Arabidopsis thaliana: one gene and its partners. The protein of the gene in region 4 interacts with the protein of the main gene of each other region in a pairwise test. Each region holds a gene or a part of one and is shown on either strand. Other genes may lie near its edges.

Evidence for each region.
Region 1: the proteins of AGO1 (region 4) and APX1 interact in a two-hybrid assay, tested with the Arabidopsis thaliana proteins (one study listed by BioGRID).
Region 2: the proteins of AGO1 (region 4) and CAM6 interact in a two-hybrid assay, tested with the Arabidopsis thaliana proteins (one study listed by BioGRID).
Region 3: the proteins of AGO1 (region 4) and AT5G25270 interact in a two-hybrid assay, tested with the Arabidopsis thaliana proteins (one study listed by BioGRID).

Annotation. Positions count from the first base shown.
Region 1 is NC_003070.9:2,435,649-2,440,198, forward strand, and holds APX1 (ascorbate peroxidase 1), read left to right. Parts: upstream 1-1,632; 5' UTR 1,633-1,907; exon of another isoform or gene 1,908-2,344; 5' UTR 2,345-2,356; coding exon 2,357-2,475; intron 2,476-2,562; coding exon 2,563-2,737; intron 2,738-2,842; coding exon 2,843-2,908; intron 2,909-3,060; coding exon 3,061-3,195; intron 3,196-3,286; coding exon 3,287-3,366; intron 3,367-3,439; coding exon 3,440-3,542; intron 3,543-3,629; coding exon 3,630-3,688; coding exon of another isoform or gene 3,689-3,701; exon of another isoform or gene 3,702-3,771; coding exon 3,772-3,787; 3' UTR 3,788-4,017; downstream 4,018-4,550. Other genes in the region: ATMPK13 (Protein kinase superfamily protein), read right to left, coding at 1-64; AT1G07885 (uncharacterized protein), read right to left, coding at 1,015-1,179.
Region 2 is NC_003076.8:7,213,968-7,217,945, forward strand, and holds CAM6 (calmodulin 6), read right to left. Parts: upstream 2,086-3,978; 5' UTR 1,984-2,085; coding exon 1,908-1,983; intron 1,147-1,907; coding exon 773-1,146; 3' UTR 507-772; downstream 1-506. UniProt on the Arabidopsis thaliana protein: Calmodulin mediates the control of a large number of enzymes, ion channels and other proteins by Ca(2+). Among the enzymes to be stimulated by the calmodulin-Ca(2+) complex are a number of protein kinases and phosphatases.
Region 3 is NC_003076.8:8,756,993-8,764,632, forward strand, and holds AT5G25270 (Ubiquitin-like superfamily protein), read right to left. Parts: upstream 6,014-7,640; 5' UTR 5,633-6,013; intron 5,033-5,632; 5' UTR 5,011-5,032; coding exon 4,891-5,010; intron 4,640-4,890; coding exon 4,522-4,639; intron 4,337-4,521; coding exon 4,265-4,336; intron 4,118-4,264; coding exon 4,002-4,117; intron 3,872-4,001; coding exon 3,800-3,871; intron 3,726-3,799; coding exon 3,597-3,725; intron 3,514-3,596; coding exon 3,444-3,513; intron 3,363-3,443; coding exon 3,199-3,362; intron 2,843-3,198; coding exon 2,678-2,842; intron 2,541-2,677; coding exon 2,475-2,540; intron 2,386-2,474; coding exon 2,262-2,385; intron 2,121-2,261; coding exon 1,833-2,120; intron 1,607-1,832; coding exon 1,269-1,606; intron 969-1,268; coding exon 891-968; intron 800-890; coding exon 791-799; 3' UTR 442-790; downstream 1-441.
Region 4 is NC_003070.9:17,886,586-17,894,583, reverse strand, and holds the start of AGO1 (Stabilizer of iron transporter SufD / Polynucleotidyl transferase), read left to right. Parts: upstream 1-1,987; 5' UTR 1,988-2,156; intron 2,157-2,683; 5' UTR 2,684-2,691; coding exon 2,692-3,327; intron 3,328-3,414; coding exon 3,415-3,623; intron 3,624-3,699; coding exon 3,700-3,849; intron 3,850-3,934; coding exon 3,935-4,074; intron 4,075-4,172; coding exon 4,173-4,282; intron 4,283-4,375; coding exon 4,376-4,482; intron 4,483-4,572; coding exon 4,573-4,711; intron 4,712-4,782; coding exon 4,783-4,899; intron 4,900-5,367; coding exon 5,368-5,475; intron 5,476-5,573; coding exon 5,574-5,645; intron 5,646-5,995; coding exon 5,996-6,118; intron 6,119-6,206; coding exon 6,207-6,369; intron 6,370-6,457; coding exon 6,458-6,717; intron 6,718-6,834; coding exon 6,835-6,977; intron 6,978-7,076; coding exon 7,077-7,139; intron 7,140-7,224; coding exon 7,225-7,288; intron 7,289-7,371; coding exon 7,372-7,507; intron 7,508-7,603; coding exon 7,604-7,677; intron 7,678-7,755; and 4 more.

The DNA of each region.
Region 1 (4,550 bases), about 15 Mb from region 4:
GTACATTGTACATAACATATCTACCATCATATGTCAAGATCCCTCCATCTTCCCTTTTCTCCATCTCTTCTTTGGAAGAAGAACTCGGATCAAGACAGGTTTTAAGATTAAAAAAGGAAGCAAGTTTTAAAAGACTGTTTCTCAAGTAGCTGTTGTTGCCGTTAAAAAGGCAAAGCAGTGAGTAAGAGGAGAGAAAATGGTGGCACCTTTTGCTTTTGGTGGGCCAAATGAAGACAAACTTTTTTATTTGATCCGTTGAACTTCGAAATTTGAATGAGAATTATTATTACAAGGTTAAAACTTGACTTCTGCATCATTAAAGAAAAATTCAAAAGAAACAAAAGAGAAGTATACTATAGAAAAAGCTATCTCATTGTGGATCAATAGGTCCCTAGGAACCAATAGTAAGTAAAAAGCAAAGTGGTAAACATACAAAAGCGAGATTATTCTCAAGTCTCATTTCAATGTCAAAACTCTCTCTTGTGTGCTAAGTAAACAGAACCTGTGTGAAAGTAAAACACCTCTGAACTCATTTTCACTATCTCACAAACCTGCATTATCGATCCAATTCTCCCATCTTATATCTTCTTACATATTAAGGATCAGAGAAGGTGATCAAACCTGATAATTATGTAGATGTAGCTGAAGCTAAGATATAAGGCTCAGGAACCACAAAAACATATCACTGAATATTTCAAATTAGCTTCAGCATTTTATGAGTCAAAATACTAAGAAACAATGCAAATTCTCTCATGAAAAGGCTCTCACATTGCTTTTGCATTCTCCGCAATTATGATCCAAACCTTAACCAAAAACAACTACCCTATAAGAGTATAAGACCATGTCTGCAGAAATCAGTAGTAACACAAGAATTTCATGAGATATTAAAGAAGAAGAAAAGTAGGCCACACAATAGAATTGAGGAATCAAGAAAACAGATACATACACTTGGGAAGGACCAGCACAGCAGACGTCTGTTACTACTAACTAACTCAGACTTGTCATTGAACTATATTATATACGGCTCACTTGTTTTGCTGCAGTAACTGGCTTATCTTCTTTTCTGGCTTGCGTTAATAACATGAGTAGAGAGAAAACACGACTTCCGTCGAGTAGATTCCTATCAAACAACACCGGTTCTCGAATCTTTCGACAAGCCAAGCAAAAGTAGGTGGGCATGAAAATTTGTTCCCCATGAAACAGAGGACATTCGTTGTTACCTATTCTAATAACCGATTCAAAATTCCGAATCGCAGACTTAATAAATGTGGACAATTAACCAAACCGTGCATTGCTAGGTCTAAACCGCATTGGTTTATGACCCACCAATCAAGGAGCGATGGGTGAGAAACCTAATAACACTGCTGCTGTGACTTTATCATATCCTTAGTCCAATTGGGATCTTCGTCTGCGTGAGACGCGTTCACACCTGCGACAGATGAAATCACGGAAATACCACTGCCCAACGTGTTCGCAATAAAAGTCCTCTGATGCCTAATTTCGTCAATTTACTGAAGAAAATTCAACATCAACGCCCTTTTTGATAATTTCCCCAAAGTTAGTGGGCCCTCCACACGAAGCATGTATCCTCCAATTGCATATTGCCAATTATTTCCTAATAATATTGAAGGATTATTCTTTTCCCATCTATATACCACCAACCCTAAGATCCGAACGTCCATTTTAAAGCCGTGCGTTTAATCATGATCGTCAATTATATTGGCAAATTTGACCACACGATATCCGTCATCTAACGGCATCTACAGATCTACCAGAACGTTCTCATTCATGACTCTATATATTTCGCATTTCTTCTCCTCAACGCTCTCATAAAAAGTAGTACTCGTGTCTTACTCGTGCCAGCCACTCGCATTTCTCCAGATTTTATTATCCTTCCTCGAAACAAGGTATGACGGAAACTCTCTCTCTCCCTCTCTGATCCGTCGTTGCTGCTTCCATTTTCATCTTGACTCGATCGGATCATTGTTATGCTTGGCTTGATCTGTGCTTAATGATGTGTTTTTCGTAGTAGATCCACGATTCGTTGCTGCGATCGGCGTTATTATCGTCAGCTCTCTCGTTTCTGTTCTGTGGTTCGATATTGCTGAGTTTCTAGGCTAATCTTACGAATCTGTGAAAGTTTTTGAGAGATTTGGCTTCTGTAGCTCACTCCTGCTTGATTTAGGTTTTTTTTTTTTCCACTCGTATGAAGCTGTTTTAGAGGCTGTTGTTGTTTATGATTCTCAGCTTGTTATGTATAGTTGGATTTCGTGAGTTTTGGATTTGATCTGTGCGTTTATTTAGTAGTGAGGCTCATGTATATATATCTGTGTATTTGTTCCAGAGCTTAGCTAAGATGACGAAGAACTACCCAACCGTGAGCGAAGATTACAAGAAGGCTGTTGAGAAGTGCAGGAGGAAGCTCAGAGGTTTGATCGCTGAGAAGAACTGTGCACCCATCATGGTCCGACTCGCGTAAGTAACTAACCATATTTGCTTGTGGTTTTGAAGTATGTAGGATTATGAACTTTCTCATGGCTGATCTGTCTGGCTAAACTGCAGATGGCACTCTGCTGGAACTTTCGATTGTCAATCAAGGACTGGAGGTCCATTCGGAACAATGAGGTTTGACGCTGAGCAAGCTCATGGAGCCAACAGTGGTATCCACATTGCTCTTAGGTTGTTGGACCCCATCAGGGAGCAATTCCCTACCATCTCTTTTGCTGATTTCCATCAGGTACATGGTTTTAAATTTTAAAAAGCACTATTTGGTTAACGGTGATAACTGTAAGGTTTGGATTCTAACTCTAGATATCCTTGTGGTGTGAAATTGATCATTCAGCTTGCTGGTGTTGTGGCCGTTGAAGTTACTGGTGGCCCTGACATTCCTTTCCACCCTGGAAGAGAGGTTAGTCATTGCTGTAGATTTGTTTGCCGTCTCTAAGGTTATCATATACTCAATTTGGTCGAGAGAACGTGTTCTGCTTTCTTTGTAGAGATGGCTGATTGATAATTGTGGGACTTGATTTTCTGTTTCTAAAATGCATATCTTGATTTCAGGACAAGCCCCAACCACCTCCAGAGGGTCGTCTTCCTGATGCTACCAAGGGTTGTGACCATTTGAGAGATGTCTTTGCTAAGCAGATGGGCTTATCTGACAAAGACATTGTCGCTTTATCTGGTGCCCACACTCTGGTTCGTTTCTCTCCAACTGCTTAAAACTTTAAAATTTGTTTGCTCCAAGCTTACAAATTCTGATGAGTGCTAGCAAAATATGATATCGCAGGGACGATGCCACAAGGATAGGTCTGGCTTCGAAGGTGCATGGACATCAAACCCTCTAATCTTCGACAACTCTTACTTCAAGTGAGTATCCCAAGTTCCCTTGTAGGAGGATTCAGTGGCTTATATGGTTACTAATCAAATTATATATGGGCAGGGAACTCTTGAGCGGAGAGAAGGAAGGCCTTCTTCAGCTTGTCTCTGACAAAGCACTATTGGACGACCCTGTTTTCCGTCCTTTGGTCGAGAAATACGCTGCTGTATGTCTTTCATTCCCTTTTTTCTGTTTTTCACTTGGTAGAGAGAGAGAGAAGAGAACTCATGGTTTCTTGTGACAATGTGAACAGGATGAAGATGCCTTTTTCGCTGATTACGCTGAGGCCCACATGAAGCTTTCTGAGCTTGGGTACTTATCCTGAATCTATGAATCATTTAGAAAGTAAATATTAATTCAGTGGTGTGATTTGAGTTTGTATCTGTTGGTTGCAGGTTTGCTGATGCTTAAGCTGTGACGTATGCTCTGTGTGTGTGTGTGTGTCTCCCCGAGAGTCATGGCTGTTTTTGGTTGGGGGCTGGAGGGGTCGCATTGCATTTGAACTTTGTCATATGATTGCTTAATGTACTCTCGGATTTACGTATCTGTTTTTTTCGGTGGGTTGCGATTTGAACACATCCGTTGCGCTTTTGCTGCTTAGACACATTAATAAAATTAATTTCTCTCGATATTTATGCCTCAAATCCATTCATATCTGCTTAGTCTCTAATAACAGTAGAACTTGGATTAAGAGTTTGAAGATACAGTGGCTAATTGCCTATATAAAGTGATAAACAGCCAAATCTTTAATCAGAAGTAGAAGTATTAGTATAACATGATTTGACTATGTACTACGAGATCAATGGTAAACCTGACATTGTTCCAAAACCAATCTAGACCAGTTCACTTACCGAATTTTAGTTCCATACCCATAAACCAATCCAAAGTGATTCTATCACCACATGCAACAGCATGTAATGATGTGGTGCCCGAATAGGCGGATTCCATCGATGTTGATCAGACGATGCTTTAGATCAAAGACCGGCGTGAGCTGAGACGGATGGCTCTGGCTTATAATGTCACCACTATGATTACCAAAGTGTTTGCTGCTTTGATCACGGCCGAGGGAGTAAAGAGCTTGAAGTCAAGTGTTATTCAAATGATTGTCATTCAGCACTCCTTTTCTAGGTGAAGGATCTTGCCTATGCGCTTCTCTAAAACCGTTTTTTTTTCT
Region 2 (3,978 bases), on a different chromosome or scaffold from region 4:
ATCTCTATAGAATAAATTATAATAATTTGACCCGCGGGTGAATACGATGATCTGATGACCTATAAGGTAGTCCGGTTCGCTATCTGGATCGGGTTAACATTGACCCTATATAAACCAAGCATCCACCAACAAACTTAGTTGACTAAAGAGTCTCTGGACCTAGAGGTCAAGAGTCCAATTTTCGTTTGGGAGATGGTCACATTACATCTTTTGGTCTCTCTAGCATCAGGGAGTGTACGAAATTAGGTTTACAACCTCTTTGATCATTTAAAAAACTTTTAGACAACAATAGATTTAGAGGCTACTTACATTTGTTTCTAAAGAATTTCCAATTTTGATGATCCTAATGGAAAAAAGGTTTGAAGGTTAGGGACTTACGGTTTACAAACTAAGAAACAAAATGGTTTGTAAATTTTATTGATACATATAACTACTATATTTTTCATGTAAAATAACAATAACGTTGGCGATGTTGCAAAATCGTTTTCGTTGGTCAATTCTCTTACTGGTATTTTAAACGCGGCCAAATTTTAGGGCATTGCTTTAAGATAAACAACAACTAACAAAAATTTACAGAATAAAATCAGATGCCCAAAAAAGAGAGCAAAATATGAGTTCATACTTCACATAACACTAAAAGGCTTAACCAAACAAACAAGGGAAATAAGCAAAATGATGTCCTAAAGAACGCAACCAGAATCAAGTCATAATGTAACTTCACTGTAGAAATCATAAATCTTGTTTCTTTTTGTGGGCTTAAGATAAAATTCTCTCACTTAGCCATCATGACTTTGACGAATTCTTCATAGTTAATCTGACCATCGCCATCAACATCCGCTTCTCGGATCATCTCATCAACTTCCTCATCGGATAGCTTCTCACCGAGATTTGTCATGACATGTCGAAGCTCTGCTGCAGATATGAAACCATTCTGGTCTTTATCAAAAACCCTAAAAGCTTCCTTGAGCTCTTCCTCTGAATCAGTGTCCTTCATTTTCCTTGCCATCAGGTTCAGGAACTCCGGGAAATCAATGGTCCCGTTCCCATCTGCATCAACTTCATTGATCATGTCTTGAAGCTCAGCTTCTGTTGGGTTTTGCCCCAGAGACCTCATCACGGTTCCGAGCTCCTTGGTGGTGATACAACCTGCAACCAGATTCAGGTATAATAAGCTTTTAGAGACAGACTTATATCCACAGTCAACAAACAAAAGCCATTGTATTTCTTATTTCGACTGATGAAGATCTGGTAAGTAAAAAAGAGAATGATTTTTTTTCATTCAACAAAGTCCTACTAAGTTAACAAAGAAACTCCATTCATACAAACTAAAAATAATCACTCTTCCAAGTCCTACCTAAAGTGTTAGGGTAAAAGAAATATTCTGTGTTTATTCCGTCTTTCCTTATGTGTGTGTACTAGCAAATCTAGAATCATGTGTATTAAAAAGACACAATATTCTTCTCCAAATCTCTTTACATGGTATCAAAGCCAGAATCAAAACCCTAGCCACTTCGTTCTATTGAACCCACATCTCACCGTGCAAAGGCCAATAATGCACAACAGAATTTTGCAAGTTTTTCACCAATCAAAGCAGAATACATTCCTGATATCTACAACATCAATCCTTTTTTCAACAATTAAACTACTCAAAATCTCAACATATGGATAAATTTCCCAAAACATTTCATTGCTGCATCACGAGACTGAACCAGAACAAGAACAAAACACAGCGTGAGTCATGAATCGCTATCGAATTAGCCAAAAGCTAGATCGTTCACAAGTGAAACAAACACGAATCATACAGAAAACTGAAGAAGATCATAAATCTGTCAAACAAATTCCAGAACTCGTATACGGACGGAGTAATCATCGGGGAAAAAACGCAAAGATCTGGGAAAGAAACATACCATCACCATCCTTATCGAAGAGGCTAAAGGCTTCCTTGAACTCTGAGATCTGGTCATCGGTGAGCTGATCCGCCATTTTCCTTCTTACCTTTTTTTAGAAATCCCAGATTTTTTTTTTGCTACTGAATATATTATTTGCCTCTCTAATAATAATTCAGCAAGAGAGCTTATAAAAGAGAGAGAGCCCAACAACTTATGGTTGGGCCTCTAAAGATTTACTAGCTAATTCAGTAATTCTTATGATTTTTTTGTCTTTTTAGTTTAGTTTTTTAAGACAATTATAAAGAAAACTATAACCTTTGCAGTTAATTTAGACATATATACTAGGTAATAAATCTATCAAATTAACAATTATTAATTTTTTTTGACTATTTTCAAAACTGATTTAGTAGAATATTTTACAGTATATCAATTAAACTTTTGACATTATTTTTTTCATTTAAATATTTAATTATAAAAAGTTTTTAAACTAGGATAGATATTTAAGGATATTAATTAATTTGGAAAATTAAAAAAAAACTTATAATATGTTGAAAAAAATAATATATGGATACATATGAAATGATTAGAGTATCCTCTAAATTTACGTTACAGAAACGGATATGTATAAGCAAAAATTTTACATGAATACACTTTTTTGTAGAAATAGTTAAACTTGAATCGATTTTACATGTTTTGTTTTAATTTAAATGGATACTTAATAAAAAAGTTAGTCAATATCTCTACATTTTTTCCAAGTAAACTGTTTTTAAATTTTTTTAGTTTTTATATTAAAAACAAAAAGAGTGTTCGATCATTTATATGAGTCTTATTATTCCACACCTCTAGAATATATATGTACTCGCTACAAATGAGTCTAATGAGCTTTTGCCGTTGATGATTTGTTCAATGTTCTAATAATTGTCATCAGTCTATAACCATTGACACTACACAAAACGGTTGCAATGTATGACTTTTGTTGAACTTTGTAGTGACTAGTAAGTAAGTGAGAGTGAAGAAGCAACGGTTTTTCTTTCTTACAAAAAACTCATATATACTTCAGAGTTAAGACTTAAAAATATATAATAGTGGATAAAATCAGTTACAACTATTTTTTTTTTTAAATGGTCTGTAACAAAAACATAAGAATTCATCGATTACTTAGAAACAACTCAAATGAGAAAGAAAAAAAAACACCTATTGATTAGGTCCATATCTAGTCAAAATCTGAATACTCAAATATTTTGTCATTACATTAATTAACCCAAAATAATTGACCAAAAAAGGCAAAAAACATAATTTTATTTCTTAAGAAAATTGAGGAGCTTAACAAAGGAAAGAAACGTATAATTGTCCCATACGAAAAAAAAAAATTAAAAAACAAGTGTCCATTAAAGTGAGAGAGTCCCTACACGAAATTAAATAAGTTTTTGTCTGTTAGCTACAAATTTCTCTACAATCATCGTATCTCTTTCGTCGCATCTCTATCTCTTGTTGCTCCTTGTATTAGCCCATCATTTTTTTATTTCTCCTGCGAATTCTCCGCCATAGATTTTCTTTTGAATTTCTCCTGCTAACTCTTGAGCTCCCCAAAGGCGGCTACATCGGTTTTGTCACCTCTACTCGCTCACTTTTCTCCGTCCAATTTTGCAGGTTTGTTGGTCGATTCTCCATGTTTTTGCTTCGAATTCGATGAGTAATTCGGTAACTTAGAGAGTTGCTTACGCTTTTGGTTTATGTGTAAAGTGTGCATAATCTCTATATTATATGATGGTGATGATGATTAGTTCTGTAGCTAACTCGAGAATCTCGCTTCAATTGTGTATCAGTACAAATATTGGTTTAGTGGAGAATTTTGGATTTGTAGATGCTTGCTTGAACAATATATGATTTATCTAAGTCATGATTCTAGAGATTTAGGCTGTTTTTGGAGTAATTAAAAAGGATGATCGGAATTTCCGGAGAAAATCTCCGCTGCTAGATTTGTCATTGCCTTGTGGATTTTCAGCTGTTTTTACGCTTTGTCTTTATTGAATTCTGTGGCATATTACTGTTCTTTTCTTGACGGTTTCTTTCACTTTTTTTGCATTTA
Region 3 (7,640 bases), on a different chromosome or scaffold from region 4:
ATTGCTTTTACTCTCTTTAATTTTGTTCCCTGTTTGATGAAATTTTACTATTTTTACTAAAAGTTAAAACATTTCGGGTTTCTTAAGTTTTTCGGTTTAGTTCGGTTCTATAAGAGTGCCAACCAATATTATTTTGGTTTGGTATATAATACAAGGTTCATGCTCTAAAATTGCAATACGTTGAGGGAATTACAAGATCTTGAAAATACACAAACAAAAAGTCATCAAAACAACTGAGATCTTACTATTTACCAAAGGTAATAATATCCTTGTTTCCGTTTCAGGGTATTTGTCGCAAAGTTGTGGTTTTTGCTTTCGTAGGAATGTTGCTCGGAGCTCTGTTAGAATGACAAATTAACCTGCAAGTTAAAAATGCTCAAAACCAATTTTTTTGTCCACCGAAGAGTTAACCTCGACCACATTTATTGTAAACATTAAGCTTAAGTGTTCCATTGGAGAAACTTGTCCTTGTGGTCCTTAAACACAAAGTCTATTATTTGGCTACCAAACTTCACTTTTGACTCTCATGCTTTAGCCTCCCCTATATAATTCAGTACTAATCTATGTATATGCACTTATGTTTATTATTCGAGTACAAACTCTGAAAATGTTGGCAGTGGAGATAAAAAAAGAAAAAAATGGAGATCTTTTGGCTAACACCACCAATACCATTTGAACGAACAATCAAAAGCTCAGAATAAATTACCACAAGTGAAAAGAAAAAAAAAAAAAGACTATCGTTCTTCAAAAAGTGTGCTTCTCCACTCTTCGCTTTTGCTCCAACAATCTCTCACTCTCTCTGCATAAACATCATCACATGTTTAAGTAAACACAAACCAAATGAAACACAAACCAAATGAATCATAAACCAAATGGATCTTCATATTTACCCTCTGACGTTTTGACTCTGGAGGTGATGGTGGTTCAGGTCTCCGAGTTGAATTCCCTCGCTCTGTACCTTCCTCCTCCTGCACCTCGAATTTATCCGCAACCGACACTCATTAACACATTTGTATATTCTCACCAGTTACCATTTATCAGATTTTACTAACCCCTAAGCACCGGATTTGATAAGGTTTACCACTTTTACTCCTACCCATCTGTATTATTCTATACACAACCAAAGCTCTACGATAATAAAATCTCTTTCACTATCTAATTACTCCAACACGAATTCACCACAAGTAAATGACAAGTTAGCATGTTGCATAAGGCTTCTAAGGAAATAACTAAATAAGTAACATGTTAAAAGGTGAAAACAATGGTACCTCTGCCTCTCTCGAAGAGGCTTGTCTACTATTGCTGCCTCTGCCTGTAGCAGCTTCACCTGAGCTTGAGGAGGCTACGTTTTGAGATATAAACGGCATGATCTGCTGAAGAACACTCGATATGAAATTCCCTTCATCTGTCGTAGTTGCTGGCTCTACTTGTGCATTTGCAACTGCTTCGTTTGTTTCTGTGGACGCTGTGGCAGAGGGATTTGCTGCACCCTGAGACTCCGTGCTCCCGGCTTGGTTTTCTCGACGAGATAAGGGCCTCAAAAACTGATGGATTCTGTTTCTCAATTCAGACAAACCCCGACCGCCAGGAGAAGCACTGCTATCACCTACATATTTCATAGAAGCAAAGATTTATGACATATCCTGCGTTTAGGTAACACATCATCTACCAGGTCTAAGAAGATTGAAGCCAAAACAACCAAGGGAAACATCAAATCAAACATAATATGAGACAACCCAGTAATAAAAGGTAACAGACGTGAAGTTTTCTCTTATCGACAATTCAACAAATAAATCAGTACAATAGTGTAGGGAAGTTATATTAGAACTAACCTTCTCTTCCTGGAGTACCGACGCTCTGTGGCTGCCTAGAAGATTCAGTAACAGGCTGATGTACACCATCCAATCCAGTAGAGCTACGTCCACCAAGAGATATCTGCTGATATCGAGCAACAACAGGTATAACTAAGGCCACAGGATTTCGAAGAGGTTCAGATGGACCTCTCGTTGAGGGGGCAGGATCAGTAGTGCTGCTGGGTGTAGAAGGGATTGTCTGCCCAGGGGTTTGTTGTGTAGTACTTTCCTCTCTCTGGTTGGTCCCACTGGCGGGCACCCAAGATCCTAATATAACACATCACCAAGATGAATCCAGATATAAGATTAAAAAAAGGAACTTAATATGAAGTTTTTCAATATATAGCAGGAAAGAACAGTTAATACTTCGAAATTACGGATATGAATAGCACCTGTACGTATTCTTACCTGTACGTATTCTTATCTCAATATTTCTTGGGGCAGAGGCAAGTGATTGTCCCGCAAAGGGGTTAGAATGTGCGGTTCCTGCTTGTAAGCTTCCAATACTCGTGCCCAGCCGAGAGGAGTGTGACTACAAAAGTTAAAGGTAACACAAAGGTAAGGTGAGCAGGACAAGTGGACACACTGGTAATGGTGAAAGAAAGTAACAAATAGATAGACCGGCAAGGGATTTCGCCCTGTAGGGGATATGAACACTGCAGGTCCAGCATCAACAACAGCATCATCCTGACATGTAACATAACAAGTGTCATATAGATGTATGGGTGTATCATATTCTGTGAACAAAATCATATGCAAACTAATGCATCAATAATAAAAATTGCAAGATTTAGATCCACAATATGTAGCAAAAGAATACGCACAGGTGTTTGTCCCAAACGAAGCATCATGGTGGCACGGCCAAGCTCCAGGAGTGAAATGCCTAAACTCTCCAAGAGGGATCCTGATTGAAGCATGTTTGACTGGCACAACCTTCGGGTTGGCGGATCGGTCACATTTACATGATCCACGAGCTGCCTCGAAAGATTCTGCAAAAGAGAGATACGAAACGGTTATTCTTTGTTTCCCTGGATTTGATTAACTAATGCCAGCTCAAGTCAGTCAGTTAAAAGATAGCAAAAACCCTGCATGTCACTAATGTTGAACTAGCCTTACTAACTTCAATATTCTAACATTGCAACATTCACGAAGAAGATACAGTTGTTCCCAGGGTACTAAAAGTCGGAAACAATAAGTCTACAGGGCTAGGAGGTTCTGTTAAGAGTTTATCTGAGTCCCATAAATTGATGTAATAATTTCCGCATTGGTCAAGACTGTCAAAATAAGCAAAGACACAAATGGCTTTCTCAAAAGGAATGTATGAGATAAAAGTAAAAGAGCATACAGATAAGCAATCTGCTACTTCACCGATCAACAATTGCCTTGTTGATTGCAGCACTTCTGCCAAATGAGATGGTCTTGGAATCCGACTCTCTCCAGTAGTAGAAGCAGAATCTTGCACATTGCCCACTGAATTTTCAGAATCTTGCAAGTTATTAGCATTGCTACCTGCAAAAATTACAGTCCCACAGTCAGACTCTCGAGACTTGTTTTTGGACACACAACCAAACATTTAAAAATTAGTCTAACCATTAGCAGCAAACTCTTGTCTGAGATGATTCAGATATTCAGATAAGGTTGTCAACGAATCTGGAATCGCCTGCAGTAGTAAAAAGTTAGCGTATGATGTACCTTATAAAAATTATGTAAAATGAGTAATCATGGAAACAAGGGAGCTCGTACTGCTGGTTGTGAAGATGCCAAGGGAGTAGACGTCTGGTCCACAGCATTTGGTGTGGCAGATCGCCCTCCGGAAGAATCTCTTGCAGTGCCAGGACCAGAACTCCGAGACAGCCTCTCATGAAGAGGACCCTGACAAATAAAGGGAACTCTCTTACATCCAAAAACGATTTATACAAATATGCAGCAAATTATATGACAATTACCATATCATCGATCCCTTCAATACCACCTTCTGGATTAGAGATCCCAAGTGAACCCAGAACAGCTGAAACTATCTACCAGACATAAAACAAAGCTCATGAAAAGGATCGCACATATTTTTGATTGTCAAAAAAAAGGAAAAGGATCACATCTAATCCAACACACAAAAATAAAAACAGATCAAACAGATAAAAGAGGGTATACCTGTCCAAGATCTGAATAGACTCCATCAGCTTGTTCAGCAATGTTGAAGGATCCTACTACAACTCGTGATCGTTGACTGCCCTGGCTGTCACCAGCACTCAAAGCAGGATCAGCCGCTATAAAAACAATATTTCCACTCAGCATGTTGAAATAGAGTCTCACAAAAAGCATTGGTAAATGCTAAACTATCATGATTATAGAAATTCAAAGATGTTCAGTAACAGTATTTGGGGCCACAAATTTGTACGGGAACTTGAAACTACCTGCATTACTAGTTGAACTCTCTGATACAGGTTGTCTGACTACCAAATGCAGAGTGTGGCCATCTTCAACATCTAAGATGGAACCATTAAGGAATTTTACCGGTAAAAGGAAAAGTCTACCATACGACACTGGAATTGTAAACAAGGAATTCAAAACCAAGGGCTACATCAGCAAACTAGGGTTCACAAATCACAACTGAAAAGGAAAACTCTAAGAAAGAACTGGGGCAATATGCTGGAAAGAACAAAAAGGATACGATAGGCTGATAGGAGTTGATCATCCTTCATAACTTTTCCACGACATATCAAGCGTTGTTGTTCCGTAACGACACCAGTAACGGAGGCAACTTGCTCCTTCAATGCGGGAACAGGGACCTGAGATAAAACAAGAAAACAGAAAGCAAATATAAGAAAGGCTATTTAGGACACAAATAAACAAGTGAGTATTGAAATAAGGCATTAGTTCCACAATTTTAGTCAAAGGATTGATTTTAGTAATTAGAAACTTCATTATGCAACACATGCATACGAAGAAAGACAGACCTTACAGGTACTAGTCTCAGTTCATGGAAACAGAAAATGAAACATCATAAGAAATCTAAACCACTATGGCTCGTTTTTCATACACATTTATCTACACGTAAGGTGTACGTTTGAGAATCCAACGTCTTTATCTTTATCTCAACCATAGCACCAGCGCATTGAGATGCCTCGACCATAATTTCATCTTTGCCATTGTCTCCCATCCTTTCAAATGCCTTCAAACACCTGGAACCAATAAAAGTATCAGCTTATATTTAGCTATATCAGCTGCATGCAAAAACAACCTTTGATCATCAAGCACTGAGACAAAACTCAACACTTTTTCGAGTCTATAGAAGAAATATTTCATACAAAACCCTAAAGAAGCAAACTTTCATGGACGGCACTAAGAAAATTTCACCACGCCAATAAAACTCGTTCAAATCATGTAGAAATCTTAAGACTACGACTTCAGGAGAAACAATGAAACCGCAATATAGCTTTTGCCTAAGACGAAATTCTTGACTAAATCTCTGAAAATTCGTAAAGATGGACACTTTATATCAAAATCAAGAGGAGAATCATGTCTTTAACTACTCCAACTCCACAAGAAACGGAAAAGAAAACAGGTAAAGATGTGATCATAATCAATAAACACGCTACGGAATCTCAACTTCGAAAACTCTTAATAAATAGCAAACCATATTCATCAAATTCAATCAAATCACCAGAAAAGTTCTAAGCTCTTCCGGTGACAGAAAAAAAACAGAAGAATCGATCTTAAACCCTAGAAAAACGAACAAAACGGTATAAAAGACGAAATTAGTAACGGAGATGAATCGAAACCTAGAAAATTGATCGGAGTCGAAATCAGCTGAGGAAGAGAGAAGGAGATTTGGGGAAGAATCTTTAACCCTAAGAGTCCTTTCGCGGCTCCGAGAGACGATTCCGCGGCGAAGGAGAGTGAGAGAAGCCTGGCAAAAAAAAAAAAAAACGATTTTTTCTGAATTTTGCCTTTCTTCAGCTTTAATATTATTATTATCACGTGAGTAATAATTTTAAAAGTAATTTCAAATTTGATGATTTTTAATTTTTAGGCAAGGAATTTTAATTTTGCTGAATTGTAAGAAATAAAATTTGGTTTTTTGCATAATAGGAGAGGTTTATAAAGTAAAAATATCTTTGACTTTGGCATATTTAGTAAAGAGGATATTAATTTATTCAGATTTGGTATATTTTGGTTTTTCATATAAATCAAATTTATGTCAATATTATTTTAGAAATAAAAATGAGGTGATTTTTTGAAGCGTTGTCGTGTTTGATGAAAGTTTTGTTTTCTAGAAGTAAATGGAGAATGAAGACATATTTTCTATGTTTTAAATTCTTTATTAATATTGTGTAATGTAATTTTTATACAATAAATGATCAGATTAAAAATAAATATGGTAATTTGTTTCTTATCTTTTAAATTAAAATAGTTGGGTTGAAGTTATAATAATAATAAATAGAGGCTCATAACAAAAATTAATAACTAAATATAATATATATTTAAAATATTCGTTATAGAATTAAAAGAAACAGAGAAATGGATTGGTGGGAAATCCAAGTTCAAAATTAAAAAAAAAAAAACATGAGTTGAAGATGCTCTTAAATATGTTCAATTTTCTTTCAAATTAGAATAACTCTATTTTGGAGTTGGGTTTTTCTCCAACCTTTAAAATGGAGAATTCTAAATGTTAATGTAAACTAAAAATAGAGATTTCTAAGTATAGAGGAAAATAAAATAAGAGAAAATCTTTATTTAGTAGTTGAAAATGAAGATGAGTGAAGAAAATCTTTTGAAAGTGAATATGAAGATGGTCAAAGTCTCATTGATCTTAATATGATATTGTATTATTGTTTAAAGTAACAATAGGCATTCAATTTAATCAGTTTAATTGGTTCAATTGTTTTGGTTTTTCGTTTTTTCGATTTTTTAAAATTCTGCCCAAATTAAACCGAATAAAATTTTGATTTGGTTTTGTTTTTGGAACTTGATTTTTAGGTTTGGTTATAAGATTTAAAATCAATTATAAAATAACAGACTTTTTATAATTTGGTTTGAATAATAGGCTAAAGTCAACAGTAAATCAATAAAATAATTGGGTAATTCCAATACAATCAAAGTCCAAGTTATATAACAAACTCAAACTCGTCAAATTTTAGGGTTTTCGCTAAAAATATCATAACACCGAATAAAAAGATTCAAAAAAAACAATGGTGAATAAAAAGATAAGAAAAGAACGAAGAAGGAGGATCTCAAGCTGAAGACAAGAGATTAGAAAATAAGGAAGGTGAAATGATGATTAGAAATCTAGGATTTTTTTTATATGGTTTTTTCTAAACTGAACAAAAAAATTGTTCAGTTTTGATGTGCTAAACCATATAACCGAGAACAAAAATCAATTTAGAATTTCACTGAGTGGTTTATAACTTTGAACCAAATTGAAACCAAAAACTAAAATTATTGGTTCGGTCGGTTTGGTTTAAACAGTCTATGATAATTGTTGAGGACTACTTTAAAAGCATTAAACTATATGTAGTTATGAGACGTTCAACACGAAATTAGAACAGTGTCCTAGCTCTAATGACTTACTTCATAATGACATGAAACACAAAATCAACTTACATTACTATTAGTTAATTCTGAAAAAACGTGTCTAACAGTTTATAATGTTTTATATTTAAAGGGGTTATTAGGATCCTTCACCATCCATTGAAGCACAAATCTTGGTGGTTTATTGTAATGTCTGGTAAAGTAAATCACATCTTTTTTGCAATCCATCCACATAGTTGGCCACATCAACGAAATGTA
Region 4 (7,998 bases):
ACAAGTAATGTTTTCGATAGAATTAATGGTCACTATCCAAATTCCAAACCATACGCTAATGGCTTCCAAAGGAAAACTAAGACTTTATGGAGTTTTACATAAAGTCTTCGTTCAAACATCATTTTCATAAGTCTTTTGTAACTTTCTTCCTCTTAACGGCTTCCTACAATATCTCGATTTAGAACTCCAATCAACATCTAATATTTTGTCTACAACTTTATGTTTTTTCACCTTACTATATGATCTAGACAATCTTTTGTTAGGTAAAGTGTCTAGATATTCTTTCACCTAATTAACACGGAAACGTAAACTTGTACAAAAACATCTATTGATTATAGAAGAGAACCGAGCCGTGAGAGTCGTTTCTCGTCAAGACCGCACCAATCGACTCAAACATGAGCCAAACTGTACGTAGTTCTTATAAGGAACACAAACCTCCATCGTAAACCAACGTTTTCGATCGGTTCTAGCTAGACTCGCCATGCATGCATGTGCGTTGGTGCCCGTAATTACGTACACCAATCTTGATTGATATCAATGCTTATATGCCGTTAATCTTCATCTCGACTCTCGAGGTAGTAGTACTTGACGAGTTCTAAGTTCTTCTTCCGTTATGAGAAATCATATATAAGTTCTTCTATACATCTCGCTTGATTATTATAATCTTTCGCCTTTTAATTTCTCGTTTGATTATTATAATTAATGTTTATAATGAAAAGAATCATTATTTCCCAAAGCAAACGAATCATTTTGAGATAGACTTACAGTTATCACAAAAAGAAATCTAAACGTTTTCCCCAAGATTTAGCCTTTCGTCAGCATGTAATTACTCGTGACATATTCTCTAGCTCATATTTCTTCTTCACGCACGAGCAACCAATTTTGTTATATATGTATAAATCATCTTTGACAATTATATATAATACAGATTTGTTACGAGTATATGAATTTTTTTGAGGTACAGAAGCAAATCAACTAGTGAAACTAAATTAAAGAGCTAACCATCAAATAAAGTAAATTGAATTAAACAAACAAATCATACCACGTGATGACAGCCACCACATTCCTAAAGTTAGAAAATTGGCAAACCTGTAAAAAAGCATCACTTCCCCGAAATCGCAGGTCATATTTCTATGAAAACGAAAGAGAGTTATCTATATAGTAAATGGCTATATTCATATTTGCCCCACCACCCATGACCCATCTCAGTTAATAAATAGTTCTTCTATTCACCTCTATACTATAATCATTCACTTTATCTTATATATAGTCTATAAAACTAAACGTAATTCGCATGATTTTGCCTTTCGTTGCATGAAAAATCCTCCTTGACAATGTACAATTCGTTAGTACTACTCGATCAGTCGCCTTGACTCACGACATTTTCTCTAGCCACTGTTTTATCTTCACACACAAGTACCAATTTTAAACTGTTGTACTTAACTGTATAACATCCTTTATACGTAACGTAAGCCAAAAATTATGATCTAATCAGTTACTACAGATTAATAATAAGATTAATAACGGCCGGTCTACTAATTTTGAACACTTGTGCATGCATTATCTCTCGTTGAAATAGTAAATTAATGCAACTAACTTTACAAGATTAATCGAGGTATATTATAGTCTAAAACAAATATTTAAATTAATGCAACTAACTCTTGAAGATTAATCGAGGTAACGCATCACACTAATCATATTTAATCGGATAATACATATACTGTTAGTAAAATAAATTAAAAAAGATTTGGTAGATAAACGACAAAAATGTTTTTCGTCTTGTTGTTTTCGAGAAGCTTCTTTTTCCGGATTAAAAAAACATTATGCAATTCCACGTCATCAGCGCATTACAAACAATGAAAGACTACACACGACCTTGGGTCAGCATTCCAAAGACCCAACCCTGACTCGCCACGTCGACATATGCCAGCTATTAATGAAGAGGGTAATTCCGTAACTTACTCTAACCACAGAACCCTTGAATTTAAAGTGTAGCAGTAAAATCTCATTTCTTTGAGTTATCTCGTTTGTTCGGAGTTAGAGAGAGAGAGAAAGATATAGAGAGAACACAGAGAGGCGAGAGCGACGTAGGGTTGGTGTTTCGTACGGATTTTCTCGGTCAATCTTAGTTTCTCCGGCGAGAGATTGCTTTTCAGGTAAAAATGGCGGCGGTTTTGGTGTTTGTTCTTCACTTAATCTGTGTTCGATCTGCGTATGAACTCGATTTTTCCACTCGATTGGGTGGATCCGCTTCGTTTTGGTGTTATGGTTCACTGATAGTGTTGTATGTTTAGTTGATCTTTGCGATTTCGGATCTATTAGCTTCGTAGCTGTTTTGGTGTGTGTGTTCGTCTTCGAAGATATTTAGGTTTTTTTTTTTTGTTGCTTCAAATTTCTTACTGTTTCGTGCTTGTTTTCTTACTTCGTTTTCTGTTTAGGTCTTTGATTGTTTCTTACTAGGTTTTCTATGTTTGCTTTGGGCTGTTGAATTTGGTTTTCTATCTCTCTAGCTAATCACTGGTTTTCGTGCTTCTGAGTCGTTTGTTTTTGAAGCTAGTTAGGGTTTTCTTCTGTTGCTTCTATATTTCGATAGTTTTGTGCTTGTTTTCAATGTTTGCTTCTTATTTTCAAGGATAATTTTAAAATGACCCACTGTTTTTGGGTGGTTGTGTTATTTTCACAGGAATCATCATGGTGAGAAAGAGAAGAACGGATGCTCCATCTGAAGGAGGTGAAGGCTCTGGGTCTCGTGAAGCTGGTCCAGTCTCAGGTGGTGGACGTGGTTCACAGCGAGGTGGTTTCCAGCAGGGAGGAGGACAACACCAAGGTGGAAGGGGTTATACTCCTCAACCTCAACAGGGAGGTCGTGGTGGTCGTGGATATGGGCAACCACCACAACAGCAACAACAGTATGGAGGACCACAAGAGTACCAAGGAAGAGGAAGAGGAGGACCTCCTCATCAAGGAGGTCGAGGAGGGTATGGCGGTGGCCGTGGAGGTGGACCTTCTTCTGGACCACCGCAGAGACAATCAGTTCCCGAGCTGCATCAAGCTACCTCACCTACTTATCAAGCGGTGTCTTCTCAGCCTACACTGTCTGAGGTGAGTCCTACCCAGGTACCAGAACCTACTGTTCTGGCTCAGCAATTTGAACAACTCTCTGTTGAACAAGGAGCTCCCAGTCAGGCAATCCAGCCTATACCTTCTTCTAGCAAGGCTTTCAAGTTTCCAATGAGGCCTGGTAAAGGACAGAGTGGAAAGCGTTGCATTGTGAAGGCTAACCATTTCTTTGCTGAACTGCCTGATAAGGATTTGCACCATTATGATGTGAGTTTTGTGTTCCCTTAGTATTAGCTACCATACATCTAATGTCTATTTATAAATTTACCTGACCAACTGTGTTCTTTCTGTTAGGTTACCATTACTCCGGAAGTTACATCAAGGGGTGTCAATCGTGCTGTGATGAAACAACTTGTTGATAATTATCGTGATTCTCACCTTGGAAGTCGTCTTCCAGCGTATGATGGTCGAAAAAGTCTTTACACTGCTGGTCCACTTCCCTTTAACTCCAAGGAGTTCAGAATCAATCTTCTTGACGAAGAAGTAGGGGCTGGAGGTCAAAGGTCTAGTTCTTATGGTTTCTTGTTGATTTTTTTAATAAGGAAGTTTCAGAATAATAACATCTTTCCTATTTTACAGACGAGAAAGGGAATTTAAAGTTGTGATCAAGCTAGTTGCACGTGCTGATCTGCATCACCTAGGAATGTTTTTGGAGGGGAAACAATCAGATGCCCCACAGGAAGCTCTGCAGGTTCTTGACATTGTTCTTCGTGAGCTGCCGACCTCTAGGTACTGGTTACTCATCCTATGGATGTTTGCTTCTTTACTACCATGCTTGTAAGTCTCAGCTGGTTTAGTTTTGCTAACATGTTAGAATCAGGTATATTCCGGTGGGCCGGTCCTTTTATTCCCCTGATATAGGAAAAAAACAATCATTGGGGGATGGCTTGGAGAGCTGGCGTGGATTCTACCAAAGCATTCGTCCTACACAGATGGGCTTATCACTCAATATTGGTGTGATGGCTTGCTGTATTACATTCAATAATTTTTGATATCTGGTTCTCCTTGAATGTTTAACTCATGGTTGTGCTGCAATTTTGTCTGTTTTGTAGATATGTCATCGACAGCCTTCATAGAGGCAAACCCTGTGATTCAGTTTGTCTGTGATTTGCTTAACCGGGATATTTCTTCTCGACCTTTATCTGATGCTGATCGTGTTAAGGTATGAATCAATTGTCATTTTCTGTAGTAAGTGAAATGTTGTATTAATCTACTCTTCTTTGCTTAGTGACTTGGAATCTTCTTCTGTCAACAGATAAAAAAGGCTCTTAGAGGTGTCAAAGTTGAAGTGACTCATCGAGGAAACATGCGCCGGAAGTACCGCATTTCCGGTTTGACTGCTGTGGCCACTCGGGAATTGACGTGCGTATTTGTTTTAGATTTACTACTCTTATTTCGCGAATGTTGAACTTGATGAAATTAATTTTTACTCTCTGTTTTTATCCTTTTCAGATTCCCAGTAGATGAAAGAAATACTCAGAAATCTGTTGTAGAATACTTCCACGAAACATATGGTTTTCGCATTCAGCACACTCAACTACCATGCTTGCAAGTTGGGAATTCTAATAGGCCTAATTACTTACCAATGGAGGTAACTTTGAAATACGTCATCAGGTTTTATTAGCTCACCAGTACTTCCGATTCTAATGTGTTGCTGCACAGGTATGCAAGATTGTTGAAGGCCAGCGGTATTCCAAAAGATTGAATGAGAGACAGATCACTGCTTTGCTGAAGGTTACCTGTCAGCGCCCGATAGATCGAGAAAAAGATATCTTACAGGTATGTTTCTTTATTTTCGATAACTTTGTTTTCCTTCACTTGAATCAAGAGTATCTTTTTGTCCGCCTATCTTGATAGTCGTTTTAAATAATGTATGCTGGTGATAAAGCCTCATTGTGGAATAGATCATTGTAAAATCTGTTTATTCTTACTTGGTTGCATGTGTTTACTTGAAGTAAGTGATTTTCTCAATTCATATCTAACTTGTTTTTAATCATATAAACTTGTGGCTGAAAGGATGTTATGGAATGAATGGCTTAAAAACCTGTTTCTTCTTTACTTGGATGCATATGTTTGCTTGAAGAGAGTGATTTACCTTGAGATGATGCCTTTACTTCATAAATAGTGAGGCAGATTACCATCTTCAGAGTTGTGCTCTTAATTTAGCAGCGCGTGTGTCTTCTGGCTGCTGTTGTTGAAAACTCAATTGTTTATTGCTAACATTATACAATATTTTCTGATTTCTAGACGGTGCAACTCAATGATTATGCTAAAGATAATTATGCTCAAGAGTTTGGCATCAAAATAAGTACTTCTCTGGCTTCTGTTGAGGCTCGTATACTGCCTCCTCCATGGGTATAGTAATCGTTCCCATTGTCTCTTTGCTATTACACTTTTTCTCTGTATCTTAATGACTCAAATTAGGGTTCCAATCTGATTTTAATGTTCTGCAGCTTAAGTACCACGAGTCTGGAAGGGAAGGGACTTGTCTGCCACAAGTTGGTCAATGGAACATGATGAATAAGGTAACTAGACGAAAATGTTCCTGGTTTTCAACTATGCACTTACATGTTTCTTGCTTGTGTTACCTATATATACCTATGCTGTCATTTTTATGTGAATATTTTGTAAATCATGGCTGAGCTGTATATTTCCAGGTAATTGGCAAGAAAATTGTTTATTTATTTGTCTGTTATGAGACATATTACTCTAAAATGCTATTCTCTTGATATGAGTATGGGTGTGGCACTTGACTAGTTGCAGAGAGTATTTTGTTCATGTAGCTATGTAGATACACACTGAATTTGTCTTTGTTATTTTTTGAAAGTGATCACAACGTTTTCTGTTGTCTGGCTAATATGAGTCTTCTCTGCAGAAAATGATCAATGGTGGAACGGTGAATAATTGGATCTGCATCAACTTTTCTAGGCAAGTGCAGGACAATCTAGCGCGTACATTTTGTCAGGAACTTGCTCAAATGTGTTACGTATCTGGCATGGTGAGTCTTTGGAAGCACAAACTTGATCAGTTTATTAACCTTTCCTACACTGATTCCTTCCCTTTAATTTTTTATTTCTTACCTGCAGGCATTTAATCCGGAACCAGTCCTCCCACCAGTCAGTGCTCGCCCTGAGCAAGTAGAGAAGGTCTTGAAGACTAGATATCATGATGCCACATCAAAACTCTCCCAAGGAAAAGAAATTGATCTGCTTATTGTCATTCTGCCCGATAATAATGGATCATTATACGGTATGAGCCATGGTCTCGGATGTTTCATTGTCTACTTCTGCTTAGGAACACACTCTCAACTTATTTTCCTTAATAATATCCATTGCAGGTGATTTGAAACGCATATGTGAGACTGAACTCGGCATAGTCTCTCAATGTTGCCTGACAAAGCATGTCTTTAAGATGAGCAAACAATACATGGCTAATGTTGCGCTGAAGATTAATGTGAAGGTTGGAGGAAGAAACACAGTGCTTGTTGATGCTCTATCTAGGCGGATTCCTCTAGTCAGTGATCGACCCACCATTATATTTGGTGCTGATGTTACCCACCCTCACCCTGGAGAGGATTCAAGCCCATCTATTGCTGCTGTAAGTTAGCTTCTCCTTTAAGATCTACTTCTGTATATGGATGCTTTTGTTTATTTTCATGGCCTTAACCTTTTCAAATTGTGCTTGTTTTGTTGACAACGAAATTTTTGTTTTCAGGTTGTGGCATCTCAGGATTGGCCTGAAATCACTAAATATGCTGGATTAGTTTGCGCTCAAGCGCATAGGCAGGAGCTCATTCAGGATCTGTTCAAAGAGTGGAAGGATCCTCAGAAAGGTGTGGTGACTGGTGGCATGATAAAGTACGTGTGGATGTTATTTAATATTTTCGTGATTGGGTTTTAGCTTTAGCTTGCTCTTAAGTAACAGATCTGTACGTTTCTCCCCTTACTTTTGAACAGGGAGTTGCTCATAGCCTTCCGTAGATCAACTGGGCATAAACCACTAAGGATCATCTTCTACAGGTATTAACTCTTCTTATGGCACTTACTTGACTAAATAACTTTCTGTCTTTCTTTCTGAAATGTATTATATGGTTATTCTGCACAGGGATGGAGTCAGTGAGGGACAATTTTACCAAGTTTTGCTCTATGAACTTGATGCCATCCGCAAGGTAACAGTTACTTCTAACAAATGGCTTGTGTTGCGTGCTCGTTTTCTTCTGTTTAATCTGATTATTATTTCAACTCATTTCAGGCCTGTGCTTCGCTGGAAGCAGGTTATCAACCACCAGTGACATTTGTGGTGGTGCAGAAGCGTCATCACACGAGGCTGTTTGCTCAGAACCACAATGATCGCCATTCGGTGGACAGAAGTGGGAATATTTTACCTGGTGAGACAAGTTTGGATCTTTGTCAAGCTTTTTGTGCGTAGACCTAATCAGCTGAAAATCCCTTGCATTGGTTTTTAACCCCTTTGTTAATTGTAGGCACTGTTGTGGACTCTAAAATCTGCCACCCTACAGAGTTTGACTTTTACCTCTGTAGTCATGCTGGTATTCAGGTATAATTTACAATCTCAAATGAGTTTGTGGGTGAGAATTTATTTGAAGTGTTTAACAAATCAAAACTCCATTAACAGGGCACTTCTCGACCTGCTCATTACCACGTTCTTTGGGATGAGAACAACTTTACTGCAGATGGACTTCAATCTCTGACCAATAACTTATGTTACACGTAAGATTTCTTACCTTTGTAACATATTCCTTGTTACAAGTGTTTGCAAGATTGCAAGGAAAATAAGAGTAACATTTAAACTACCTTTTTGATTTGTACAGGTATGCAAGATGCACACGCTCAGTTTCAATTGGTAAGTTTTGTGTTT